Notamacropus eugenii: one gene and its partners. The protein of the gene in region 3 purifies or fractionates together with the protein of the main gene of each other region. This does not show direct contact. Links are inferred from orthologs where the notes say so. Each region holds a gene or a part of one and is shown on either strand. Other genes may lie near its edges.

Region 1 (3,748 bases), on a different chromosome or scaffold from region 3:
GTCTCAAGATTAAACCTCAAACTAATTGTACGTTCACACACATACATACACACAAGCCACTCCTGGGATTTTGTGAATTATTAAACAATAAAAAAAAAGAACTAGCAACAACATCATGAAAAATCAACCTAACCATCACCATCTGAATTTATGGCCTAAACTAATATATCAATCAGATAGAGTCCATAATCAAGTGTTTATGTTTGGCTTTACTTTCAGTAGATGATTAAAGACCTCAGAGTCATAACAAAGAAGCCTATTCTAAGTACGCAAGGAGATCAAAAAAATCTTCACCTTCACTACTTTACCTTATCCATCATCACACCGGAAGATTCCTGGTCATTTTCAGTAAAACAATTGCTTTCTGGCTTAAAAGCAGTCTCGATTGTGTTTCACATGCGGCTACTGGTTTTCTTTCCACATCATAAATTGGACTATTTCATTGGCAATCTTAATGCCTTTTTAAACAAATTTCCTACGTCAATACAGGGATTCTTCTAAAAGTCTAGAAACCCAAATCTAGCAGTTGCAGAAGTAGAAATCAATAGCTCTCCGACTGCTCTCTTCTAAATCGTCCCTTCTCTTGTATATTTCTCCTTTCAGTTCTTGTTAGGGCCATGGAGGCACTCCATCCCTGGTCCCTGTTACCCTCACCCCCACCCACCCCTTCCTTCTTCTCTCCCTACACCAGTGGTAAGGTTCTAAGGGAGGGAAATAACATTAAGCAGGCTAGCTAGGGAAAGTTGAAAAGATTGTATCTGTTTACTCTTGGCCCTGTCCCCTGCTTTTGACTGAAATGTAGCTCAGTTTAAGCAGTAAGAATCAAGAAGGAAGTGTATGGTACAAGACAGAAGAGTTAACAGAAATTCTGATGTCCTTCACTTCATCAGAACCCCACACTGGATAACTGAAGTAAGAGAAGGGCCAAGGGCAGGCAGGCAGAGCTGCGGCCCCCCTCTCCCCCTTCTTTTTTAAACAGGCTCCACGCGGCTTTAAACAGCCAGGCTGTTTCCTTAAATACTGAAAACATTTTCCACCCATTACGTGGAGTTCAGCTCTATTCAACAGTAGGGGCTTGTCACCTGCTCTGATTTCCACCCACAAGGTACAAAGATGAAGGCGGGGGAGGAGAAGGACAGGTACCACGGGGCATATGGGGGGGGGGGGGGGGGGGGAGAAAGGCGATTTAACTACAAAACCTCGTCTTGAACCTGTCTCTGTCTCAGTCTCCGTTGGTCGCTGTTTCTCTCCCCCCCTTCACCCCCAGCTTCTGTCAGTACAACCCTAAAAGGGGGAATGGGAAGAGGTGAGGAGGGGTTTCAAGGAGTCAAAGGCAGTGCCAATGCCCGGTCACTGGCAGCCCCGAGCCCAATGCACCCGTGGATTTCTGTGGTGACTTTCCCCACTGGCATCTGCAAGCATCCTCAAACACACAATAGGCTTCTGCACACCTGTCCTACACCTAACCAGACATCATCCTCTTCCCCTTCCCCGAATCTCCGAGATCGCTGGCCAGTGACAAGCGCCCAGCTCGAAGGCTCGCCCCTGCGCACACACACACACACACACACACACACACACACACACACACACACTCACACAAACACGCGCTCAGCAGAGATGCAAACAATAGGGGGTCAAGTTCGCTGCTACACACCACAATTCAGCCTCGGCCAAACCAGCAGGGGTTGGGGTGACTGGGAAGGGTTGGGGGAGAAGAGGAGGAGGGCGTGCAAAGAGGGTGGGACCGAGGAGAGTAAGCTGAGGGAAAGGGTGAGGGCGGCTAGAGGGGCGGGCTCCGGAGAGGTGCCCCGGGGGGAGTCCCCGCCGAGGAAGGCAGGAGGAAAGGACCCGGCGCTTTCCAGCTGCGAGGGAAGGTCGGGAGCAGCCCTCGGCCACCTCCCGCCCCACCCCTCCAGTCGCAGGGGTGTGGCGTGGGGACGAAAGGTATTCCCGGGAGGGAAAAAGGTTGCAGAGCCCAGGAGATCGCGGTACCCGCCACCTTAAGCCCCAGAACCCCGAACCACCGCCTGCAACGCGCGCGCCCCAGGAGCTCGGTTACCGCCGCCGCTGCCGGGGCTCCCGCCGGGTCCTCCGGGTGGCGGGAGAAGTCGGGCTCGCAGTTCGCCCCGTCCGTCGCCATCTTCCTGCTCTAGCGGATCTGAATGCGAGCACCGAGCTGCAGCTCCCCAGCTCGGCCCCCTCGCTCTGCACGGGAGGCGCTTAACCCCCTGCGCGCCGGAGAGCCGGGCACACAGACTAACCCAGAGGAGAGGAAGGAGTCGGGAGCGCCGCGCTCTGCGCACCTCCCAGCTCCGCACCCCCGGCCCGCAAAGCACGGTACACTCCTCCCCTTGCCTGCCCGCCCCCGCTGCGCCTTAACCCGCTGTGCGCTGGAGCCCAGCCCAGCGCGGCGCCCGGGTGCCAGGGAGGGGCCCGCGGCACTGTGCAGGCGGGCACCCCCGCTTTCTCGCGCTGCGAGCCTCCCTTCTTTCCGGCTGCAGGAACCCACGCCGCCAGGCATCCCGGTGGAAGGGTCTCTGGAGAGGGGGGTGACCTTGATCGTACACCCGCCTCCTCAGTTTGAAAGACAGCCCAAGTCTTTCCAAAGCACACCCTCACTCCTTTCTCTTTGCAGGGAAACGGACTAGGAATAAGCCGGGCTCTAGGTCGTGGGTCTGTCCCCGAGGCAGATGGGGAGTCTGAGGCACCGGGCAGAAGCTGACAGGACCCCCTACGGGACAGCGGCGCAGCGGTAACACTCGATCTCAGGGCTCCCAAACCTGACTCTGACCGAGGTCAGGAGTAATCGCCTTCCCTTCCCAGCCCGGCACTACCCCAAAGACAAGGCTTTGTTTTCATCTTCGGAAATTTCCTTTTATCCCTTCGGCTAAAGTCACTTGTCAAACCTCCCATCTCTCAAAGGGATCGACTCTTTCCCTCCTCCCAAGGGCCACCAATTCTAAACCGAAATTTTCTCTCCTGGTCTCCTATTCATAGTACCGTGATTTAAAGCTACAGATCCAGAAGGAGGGCCCAGAGATGCAGTGACGCGTTCAAGGTCATGGGCTGTAAATGAAGAATTTGAACCATGGTTCTTAGACTTTATATCCAGGAGGCTTCCCCCCTGCATTGATTAGCCAGCCATCCTCTACTGCCCATCCCACTTCATCACTTAGACTTTAGACACAGCTTCCGACAGCGCACTGGGCTCAGAGTCAAGAGACTCGTGTTTCAAACCGAACTTTGAAACTATGTGTCCTTGGACCAGTACTTCCCTAGATCTGTTTCCTCATCTAAAAATTCCCTCTAAAGTCTTTCCCATTTCTGTCATTATGCATTGGGTAGAGATTTGATGCCAAGAGCATCAGCTTTCTGGTTCTGCCTCAGACACTTACTAGTGTCTGTTAGGGTATTATTTGTAGTTACTTGGTCTCTATTTCTCCAAGTGTAGAATGGGGATAATACTATTGTAGGGTGTGACCGTCCGTGCTGGTTAAATAGAAAATGCGATAATTAGCTTTCTAAACCTTACAGTGTTGTATGAATGTTAATTTTTTGTTGATGCGGGTGATTCTAGCCCTAGCCAAAGAGTCCTCTCATGGGGACAAGATACTGGTCTACCTCACTTCTTAAACATTTTAGAGGAAGTGTGATGTTGTGGGAAAAGCGCTAAATTCGGAGTCAGAAAATCTGGATTCTAATCCTAGTTCTGCTTTGTACCGACTGAGCCATCTCAACCTTTGTG
Region 2 (3,748 bases), on a different chromosome or scaffold from region 3:
AGCAAAGATATTGGAGTGCCATTTTCTTCTCCAGCTCATTTTAAAGAAGAGAAAACCAAGGCCAACAGGATTAAATAATTTGTCCAGAGTCACACAACTAGTAAAGTGACTAAGGCTGGATTTAAACTCAGGTCCTCCTAACTCTGCTAGACCAGGCACTCTATCCACTGTGCCACCTAGCTGATCCTATGATAGTTTGCTAAACCCACTCCCTCTCCATATGGCATTTAAGAAGCAATTTGGAAAAGAATACTGTTGATATGTATATATGGAGAAACCTACACCACAATGAAAGCTCACTCATAGGCCATTGTATTCATTAGAATAAGAAAAGCATACATATTTATTAATCTTTACAACAGAGGTGTTAAAAACAAAAAATAATGAAGTTTCCCAGGGTAAATGACACACCTAGGAGAGAACTTGAAATCCCTATTTTTCAGAAACAATTAAATTCAGGTTCCCCATCTTGTGGATTTACAAATAAGTCCATAAGGACTGGTCAAAGAACAGAGAAGAGATTGGCCATGAAGGTCAATTTGCTAAGTCTATAGAACACATACTGTTTATGCTCTCAATGACTGAAATTGTGATCATCTTTGCACAACATGATAATGAATAAACTTTCACTAAAAGTACGTACAACTTTGCAGGTAGGGGGTTGGGGGAGTGGCAGCAATACATCTCCAAATAATACAGCATTTAAACCACAGAGAAGAAAGTGCATGGCATACAAAAGAAAGAGCAGGCCTTGGAACCAGAAAAGCCTGGGTACAAGGCCTGCCTCTAACACATTATGGCTATGTTCCTTAAGCAAATTATTTACCCTCTCAATGCTTTAGGCAAGTCTCTAAGACAAGAAGTTAGGATAAAACATGCTAACCCACATTGATAGAGGGGTTTTCCCTTATCTAGAAGTTCCTTTTACCAAAGAAATCAAAAGTCCAGTCCCTATCCTTATCTCTTAAAATTCAGAAAATATAGAGAGAATAGGTCACACATCACCACTCACCAGGAGACAGTGGGCAAAATCTGGACCTCCTACCAGGACAGTGAAATTTCCCAGCTGTTCAGCAAGAGCCAATAATACCTCATCTTCATCATAAATTGTATCTAAAATAGCAACAATGGGGAATTCATAAACAGAGTTAGGGGACCAACAGCTGAACACTCAAGATGAAACACAAGGGGAAACAAATTAGACATATAAATGGCAACATAGTCAAATTATAATAGTAAGAAAGCCTACTCTTCCTTCTTTCAACAGATACTACCTAGAATCTCTCCTACAGAACTGAGTTAGGAAACTGCTCAACCTCCTTTCCTGTGTCATGTAAATATTTTTTCTACTTGCTTAATATGTCCGTAATATTTCTGTCCATATTATTATATTCTGATTTGGACCAAGGCAGATGGTGTTGTCTTTCTATACCACTTTACTCACACGACTATTCAGTAATGCTGTTAGTAACGTAGCCTATGAAATGGCTAAATCAATAAACAAATGCTACAAAAACTAAAAATCCCACACTTTCTAAGAAAACAGAATTAACATACCAGTAAGAAATGGCAGCAGTTCAGTTCTTGTTCTCTCTACTCCAAGAGCTAAAGCAATTGTTGATAACTTCTTAATACTGTTGAGTCTTAGCTATCAAAAAAAAAAAAATCATATGGAGATGCAAGGGGCAAATCAGTACAAAGCAGACAAAGTGCAAATCTAAAAGAAAAGTGCTAAATGGACAAGTGATGGCAAGGAAGACAAATAAAATTTAAATTTCTAATTTAGATTTCTCAGAGAAGATGATGTAGCATGGAAGGCTTCCAGAAGTCAGGTTAACCTAACCATATAAACAAGAGAAGATTCCTCAAGTTGAGCAGTCATACTTTTTTGGGAAAATACAATAAAAATGAAAGAAAGCCTGACAAGTGAAAGAATTTTTAACAGGAAAGAGAATGCTGACAGGAGTGTGGTGGGCAAGAATAAACTGGAGGATAATTGTTGTCATTTTCCTTTTTAACCTGAAAATACACATTTCATTTCGCTTAATCATGCATCCCTCCTTCCACCCAACCGGCTTTTCCATGTGCAAACCTTGGACATATTTCAACTCTACAACTCCAAGGACCCCTGGGCATCCTGTTAATTAAACCTCGGCCCAGCATTTACTTAGCGTAGGGGGAAGAGGAGAAATTAGGGGCGCGGTGGAACTGGGACAAGACCTGAAGGGAAACCCCTGGGGGGCGGGGAGGGGGGAAGGAAGCACCCCGATCAGAAATCCCGACCCCCCCCCCCCCACTGATACTAAAGGGTTTTTTTCTTCTTAAGCTAGGGCTAACGCGGCCCAGTTTCTCCCGGGGCTGACGGGGTTTGTTTCCACAGACCAGCCCCCACGAGGCGTCAAAGAAATTGGGAAGCGTCTTCCTCGGAAGCCGCGGGCCCAGCCCGGGCTGGGCCCCGAGACTCGGAAGAACCTCTGCGGGGTCAGGGCTGAGCCCCAGCGTGTGTAGGGGTAACTCTGGGGCAGGTTCTGGTCTCCCCCGGGTTCCTGGCCGACCTGGCCCGGCCTCAGGCCGGCTGCTACCCCCCCACCCCAGTCACTGGGCCTTCCTGCCTCAGTCCTACCTCCCCCCGTCTCCCCATCGCCGGCCCGGACTCAGGTGCCCGCTTCGGCCCCACTACCTGCACATCCTCATTCCGGAGCTCGTCGATCAAAACCGCGATGGGGTACAGCGAGTCGTCTCCGTCTCCGCCCGCGGCGCCAGGACCGCTCCCGGGCCCCGCGGCACCCGCCATGTTCTTCCCCCGGCTGCTACCGCCACCGCCGCGGCCGCCTCCTGCTCAGAGCGTCGCCCCGCCCCACGCACGCACGCACGCACGCACACGCTTGCACGTCGCCCCGGGCTGCGACCCACACACGGCGTGCGCGTGCGTCGGAGCCGTTTACTGCTTTCGTGATCCTTCGGGAGCGTGAAGATGCCTCTCGACGCCCGGGCTTCGGGCCCAGAGGGGTTCGGACGAGCGCGTCTGAGCTTTACAAGGGGGTCGGAGGAGGGCCCTCGCCCGCTTGTGGTCTCACGAGGGCTGTGCCCGGCGAGGCCCGGAGGACGGAGGCCCCGCTGCCCCTTCCCTCTTGCCCAGCCAGCAGGCCAGGCCCTTCTCCGTGAGTTCTCCGCTCCTCCTCCCCTCCCCGGCACCCCAGGGAGCAGGGCCCGGCCTAGGGCCCGTCCTTCAGCAGCTCCCGTACAGCTAGCGTGCACTGCTGGAAAACAAGGAGTGACCGGAGGAGGACGGCGCAGAGCCGGCCGGACCCTGCACTCGGTATTTATTCCGGTGCCCCCGGGCAAGCCGGGAAAAGCTCGCTGCCCCCTTGGGGTTGTGTTCCTTTTCCATCTCGGGCCTGAAATTGTGCCTGCTCTACGCTTTTCTCCCCCCGGCCCTTATTCCTGAATTAAATTAAACCGACATATATAAAGACGTTCCTCTGTACCGCACGCCGCGCTGGGTGTTAAGGATACCACAACGGAAGTGAAACAATATTAAGTACCTACCGTGTGCCAGGCACGAAGTTAAACGCCGGAGGTGCAGATAAAAACTAAAAACCAGTGCCAGTGCTCCTGGAGGCCCCCATCCAAAGGAGCTGCCTTCGCGGAGCCCCTGCCTTCAGGAGCTTGTCGTCTGCGGGGGCGGGAGGGGGGACGGGGCATGACCTCTGTGTACAAGCAGCACAAGGTCAGAACTTTGGCGGAA
Region 3 (3,748 bases):
CAGCCTTTCAACTGTTCTGTCTCCCAGTAGGGAAATCTCCCCTCTCCAAATCCCATCTTCTGCTGTCAAAATCATCTTCAAAATTCCAAGGTCAGAATCATCCTCCCCACTCCCCTGATTCAAAGACTTTCATGTCTCCTCGTTAAACATACTCAAACTCCTTACACTAACATGCAACCTAACTCTTTAGCATTATTTAATAATGACAGCTTCCATTTATAGAGAGATTTAAGGTTTATAATGCTTTCTCTACAGTCGCTCACTGGATACTAACAAGCTTGTTAAGTAGGAAATATGACTATCACTCCACTTTACAATGAGAAAACTGAAGCTGAGAGAGGCTAAGTGATTTTTTTCATGGCTACAAAGCTCCTTAATGTCCAAGTAACACAGGTTTCTCTGCTTCCAATGTCGGGACTCTTTCCACTACCCTACACTTATTTCACATTATTGACCTTAACGCACTCTATGTTCCGGCCAAACTGGATTACTGGCTGTTCTCCAATAGCATTCTTGAATTCTACAACCTTTGTAGTTAACAAAGGGGCTGGCTTAACGGAATAGAACCTGCATCTATCCCCTATTCCTACAGTGGTTCATTTGCATATGTCTGCCTTTCTTTTCTCCCTAAGATCTAGCTCAGATGCCACTTCCTTCAAAAAAATCTTACTGATTTCCTCAGAAAGTAGCAATTACCAGAATCTTCTGACCTCTCCAATGCATTTATCACAGCCTATATAACGGTAATAAAGTACAGCTCATAGCTGTGATATAGTTTAGTATAGCTACACTTAGTTCTTTGTGTATTTGGCTCTAACCCTCAAAGAGTTTACAATCTAAAAGAAAGTTATGTCCCTTTTGCCCTATCATTGTATCCCACAGTACAATGATCACAGTAGACACTTAGTATTTTAATTGCATTTTTAAAAGAAATATTGCATAGAGATATGTTGCAAATAAATTGGAGTGTTTAGTATTGCACACTTTTCAAATTTCAGGTTTAGACCATGGGTAATTCTGGACCAAAATGAATTAATATAAGAATAACCTACTCCTCTTCCTTTTACCTATAGTTTATACCAAAACCTTACACCCAAAGTCTAGTCAGAGGATAGAGATGGGGGGGAAGAAGAGAGTCCTCATAGGTAGTATAGAGGATTGTAGACTAGCCTGGGTAATGGCAAGTTGCCAGCTACTCCTTTAATTTAACCATCTACTTCCCCAGACTATTAAAAAAAAATTAGCTCTCCTTAATGAAGCTTCTAAGGAGTTGTTGATTCAATTGGGGGAAAAAGTTGATGGTGGGAAACTAAAGGGGCCAACTATGAAGAGAAAACATTTTACTATTTTCTTCCCAAAATAGAGTAAGAAGTATCAACAAATTCTAAGGCACACAGATGATGCCTTCATATCACACTGGCAACCCTAAACTCACTAGGAACATGGCAAAATTGGGATAACTTTCCTGTCAAGACATTTTTTTCAAGTCTTTTTTTTCCAAAAGCCCAAAACAAATTTTTTCACTATACAGTTACCAAGAAAAGTATACTTGTTTGCTCTTAAGACACAAGGCAAGAAATTTTTTTTTCCACTTTAAAAAAATACTTAACCAATGTATCCCTCTTAAGCAGTTGCTGATACTGGATACCCAAATGATTCCCACAATTTTATACTGACTTAGAAGCCCCAATGTATACAAGTCTCTAAGAAGTTATTTCCTATTACAATCCACTTTGTGCAAACAAAACCCTAGTATCTAGCACTTAATACATAAATGGGCCACTTTTACCACTTATCTAATTCCTAAGTATCTGAGAAAATTGGTTCGGAGATGGTCTGGTTTCTGACACTGCCACAGAGAAACCAGTCAACACGAAATGCCTCTTGATCAATTTTATTACAAGATGCCATTCTTGTTTCACTGGTTAGGTAACATTCAATGCCACCTTTCAAAATTAAATCAAATATACAAGAGACTGATTTCTTTTTTTACTACAGAGTTTTACCAACATTTTTTAAAAGCCACTTTTAATTATTTATTTAGTTGCAACAGCATAATTACTTTATTTCATTGAATCATGAGTTTCAAAGCCCATTTCACAACATCCACTATCACCACCTTCACTTTAATATTTCTAAGAGCACATAGCTAAAACATAACTGAAAATGCAGCTGCCATCCTCAATTGCACGTACAAGTTTATAAAAATCTGAAATTCCTAAAACGAAAGCATCTCTCATGAGATGAGGCTTTTAATTTCCTTTAAAAAAAAACTTTGAAGAATGCCATTTACTCAATTCAACAAAAATTTACTGTGCACCTTAATACGCAAGGCACAGTTCTTAGAAATGGTGACAGAAGTGACAGTTATACACCTTAATGTTCTCAAAGTGTTTTTCTCACAAGTACCAAGAGAAATAAATAGCAAACATCATTTTTATTCTGATTTGACAGATAAAGAAACTGAGACCCAAAGAATTTAAATGACTTACTCAGCTATTAAGTATCAAAATTAAAGTTTAAACTCAGATTTACCATTCGCAAAATCAGGTCTCTTTCTTCTACCAAGAGGAGTTTTGTTTTGGTTTTTTTTTTTGCCATTTGGCAGTCCGGTGAAACCTAAAGAAGCCTTGTCAGAAAAATGTTTTTAAATGAAAAAAAAAAGAATCCAACAGCATAGAATTACAAAGGAAATAAATTATATTAAAATTGTTGTCAAAATATTTTTTATAACAAGTTGACATCCTCCTGACCTAAGGCCTAGGCCTTCCCATAGCAAACTCACAACGTAATAAGATTAAGTTCATTACACAAATAACCTAAAGCATAAGGGAAAAAATGTTAAGCCCCTAAGAAAGGTACAGAGTGCCATGGGGGTTGTTCTCTAGCCAGATGAAAGATTATTGACCAGAAGTCATCAAATTGCTTAGAACAGGGATGAATCCCAAAAGACTGGTCACCAAGATTATTTACGTAAACCTGTAAAGCCATGTTGGTTAATTTTAAGAAAAAATTACACCATGTACATATTACTTTGATATAGTAAAAAAACAAAGATATTTTGTGTCTATATGTGGAGAGCGGTGATGTAGATTTTATATCCTAATAATTCTGAAGCTATTTAAAATAGCATCAACTTATAAAGGTATGAGGACACTATAAAGGGCGTCCCAAAAGTCTTGGTACAGTTTGAAACTGCAGTAAGATTTTGGAAAACACTGTATGTCAAAAGGCCAAAAAAATGTTCACAACCAGACAAAAACTGCTCCAAAAAACGTACTTTTTGGTCACGATGCTGGAAAGTATCGACATAAAGTTCGGAGGGGTAGCTAAGCGATACCCCATGAAAACAGGAAGTCAAACTAAAAAAAAAAAATATGGTGTCCTGGAATCTGCTGAGGGGCGTCCGAGGCGAGGAGGGGAGGCGAGTAACATTGTATCCACGGCAGGGATCGCCTCCTGCCTCCTCTCTCCTCTCCGGGGTCTTGTGGAAGCGGATTTGTCCCAGAGGGTCCCCTTGGGCTTCCCTCCCCCCGTGGCTCCACAACAAGCTCCTCCAAGTTGGATACTGGAAAAGCTCTGCCTGCAAAGCTGGTTTTAAAAAGCACCCCCCGCCCCCCGGCACCCCGCCTTCCCGGGCTCCTGGCCCGGCCCGCCGCACCAGTCCGGACCTGCTCGGCTCCGCTTTCTCCCTCCCCCTCCGCCCTCTGCCCAGGGGCTGCCCCAAGGGGGCTTCTCCAACCTCTAC

The links.
Region 1: the proteins of STK24 (region 3) and CTTNBP2 purify together in Homo sapiens (affinity purification with mass spectrometry; 3 studies listed by BioGRID and IntAct, with this or other methods). This does not show direct contact. The link is inferred for Notamacropus eugenii from reciprocal best matches to the Homo sapiens genes STK24 and CTTNBP2.
Region 2: the proteins of STK24 (region 3) and PPP2R1B purify together in Homo sapiens (affinity purification with mass spectrometry; 3 studies listed by BioGRID and IntAct, with this or other methods). This does not show direct contact. The link is inferred for Notamacropus eugenii from reciprocal best matches to the Homo sapiens genes STK24 and PPP2R1B.

Annotation. Positions count from the first base shown.
Region 1 is NC_092874.1:134,966,958-134,970,705, reverse strand, and holds the start of CTTNBP2 (cortactin-binding protein 2), read right to left. Parts: upstream 2,194-3,748; 5' UTR 2,144-2,193; coding exon 2,063-2,143; intron 1-2,062. UniProt on the Homo sapiens protein: Regulates the dendritic spine distribution of CTTN/cortactin in hippocampal neurons, and thus controls dendritic spinogenesis and dendritic spine maintenance.
Region 2 is NC_092876.1:142,472,128-142,475,875, reverse strand, and holds the start of PPP2R1B (serine/threonine-protein phosphatase 2A 65 kDa regulatory subunit A beta isoform), read right to left. Parts: upstream 2,843-3,748; 5' UTR 2,795-2,842; coding exon 2,681-2,794; intron 1,649-2,680; coding exon 1,558-1,648; intron 1,114-1,557; coding exon 1,013-1,113; intron 1-1,012. UniProt on the Homo sapiens protein: The PR65 subunit of protein phosphatase 2A serves as a scaffolding molecule to coordinate the assembly of the catalytic subunit and a variable regulatory B subunit.
Region 3 is NC_092877.1:228,125,389-228,129,136, reverse strand, and holds the start of STK24 (serine/threonine-protein kinase 24), read right to left. Parts: upstream 2,635-3,748; 5' UTR 2,602-2,634; coding exon 2,536-2,601; intron 1-2,535. UniProt on the Homo sapiens protein: Serine/threonine-protein kinase that acts on both serine and threonine residues and promotes apoptosis in response to stress stimuli and caspase activation.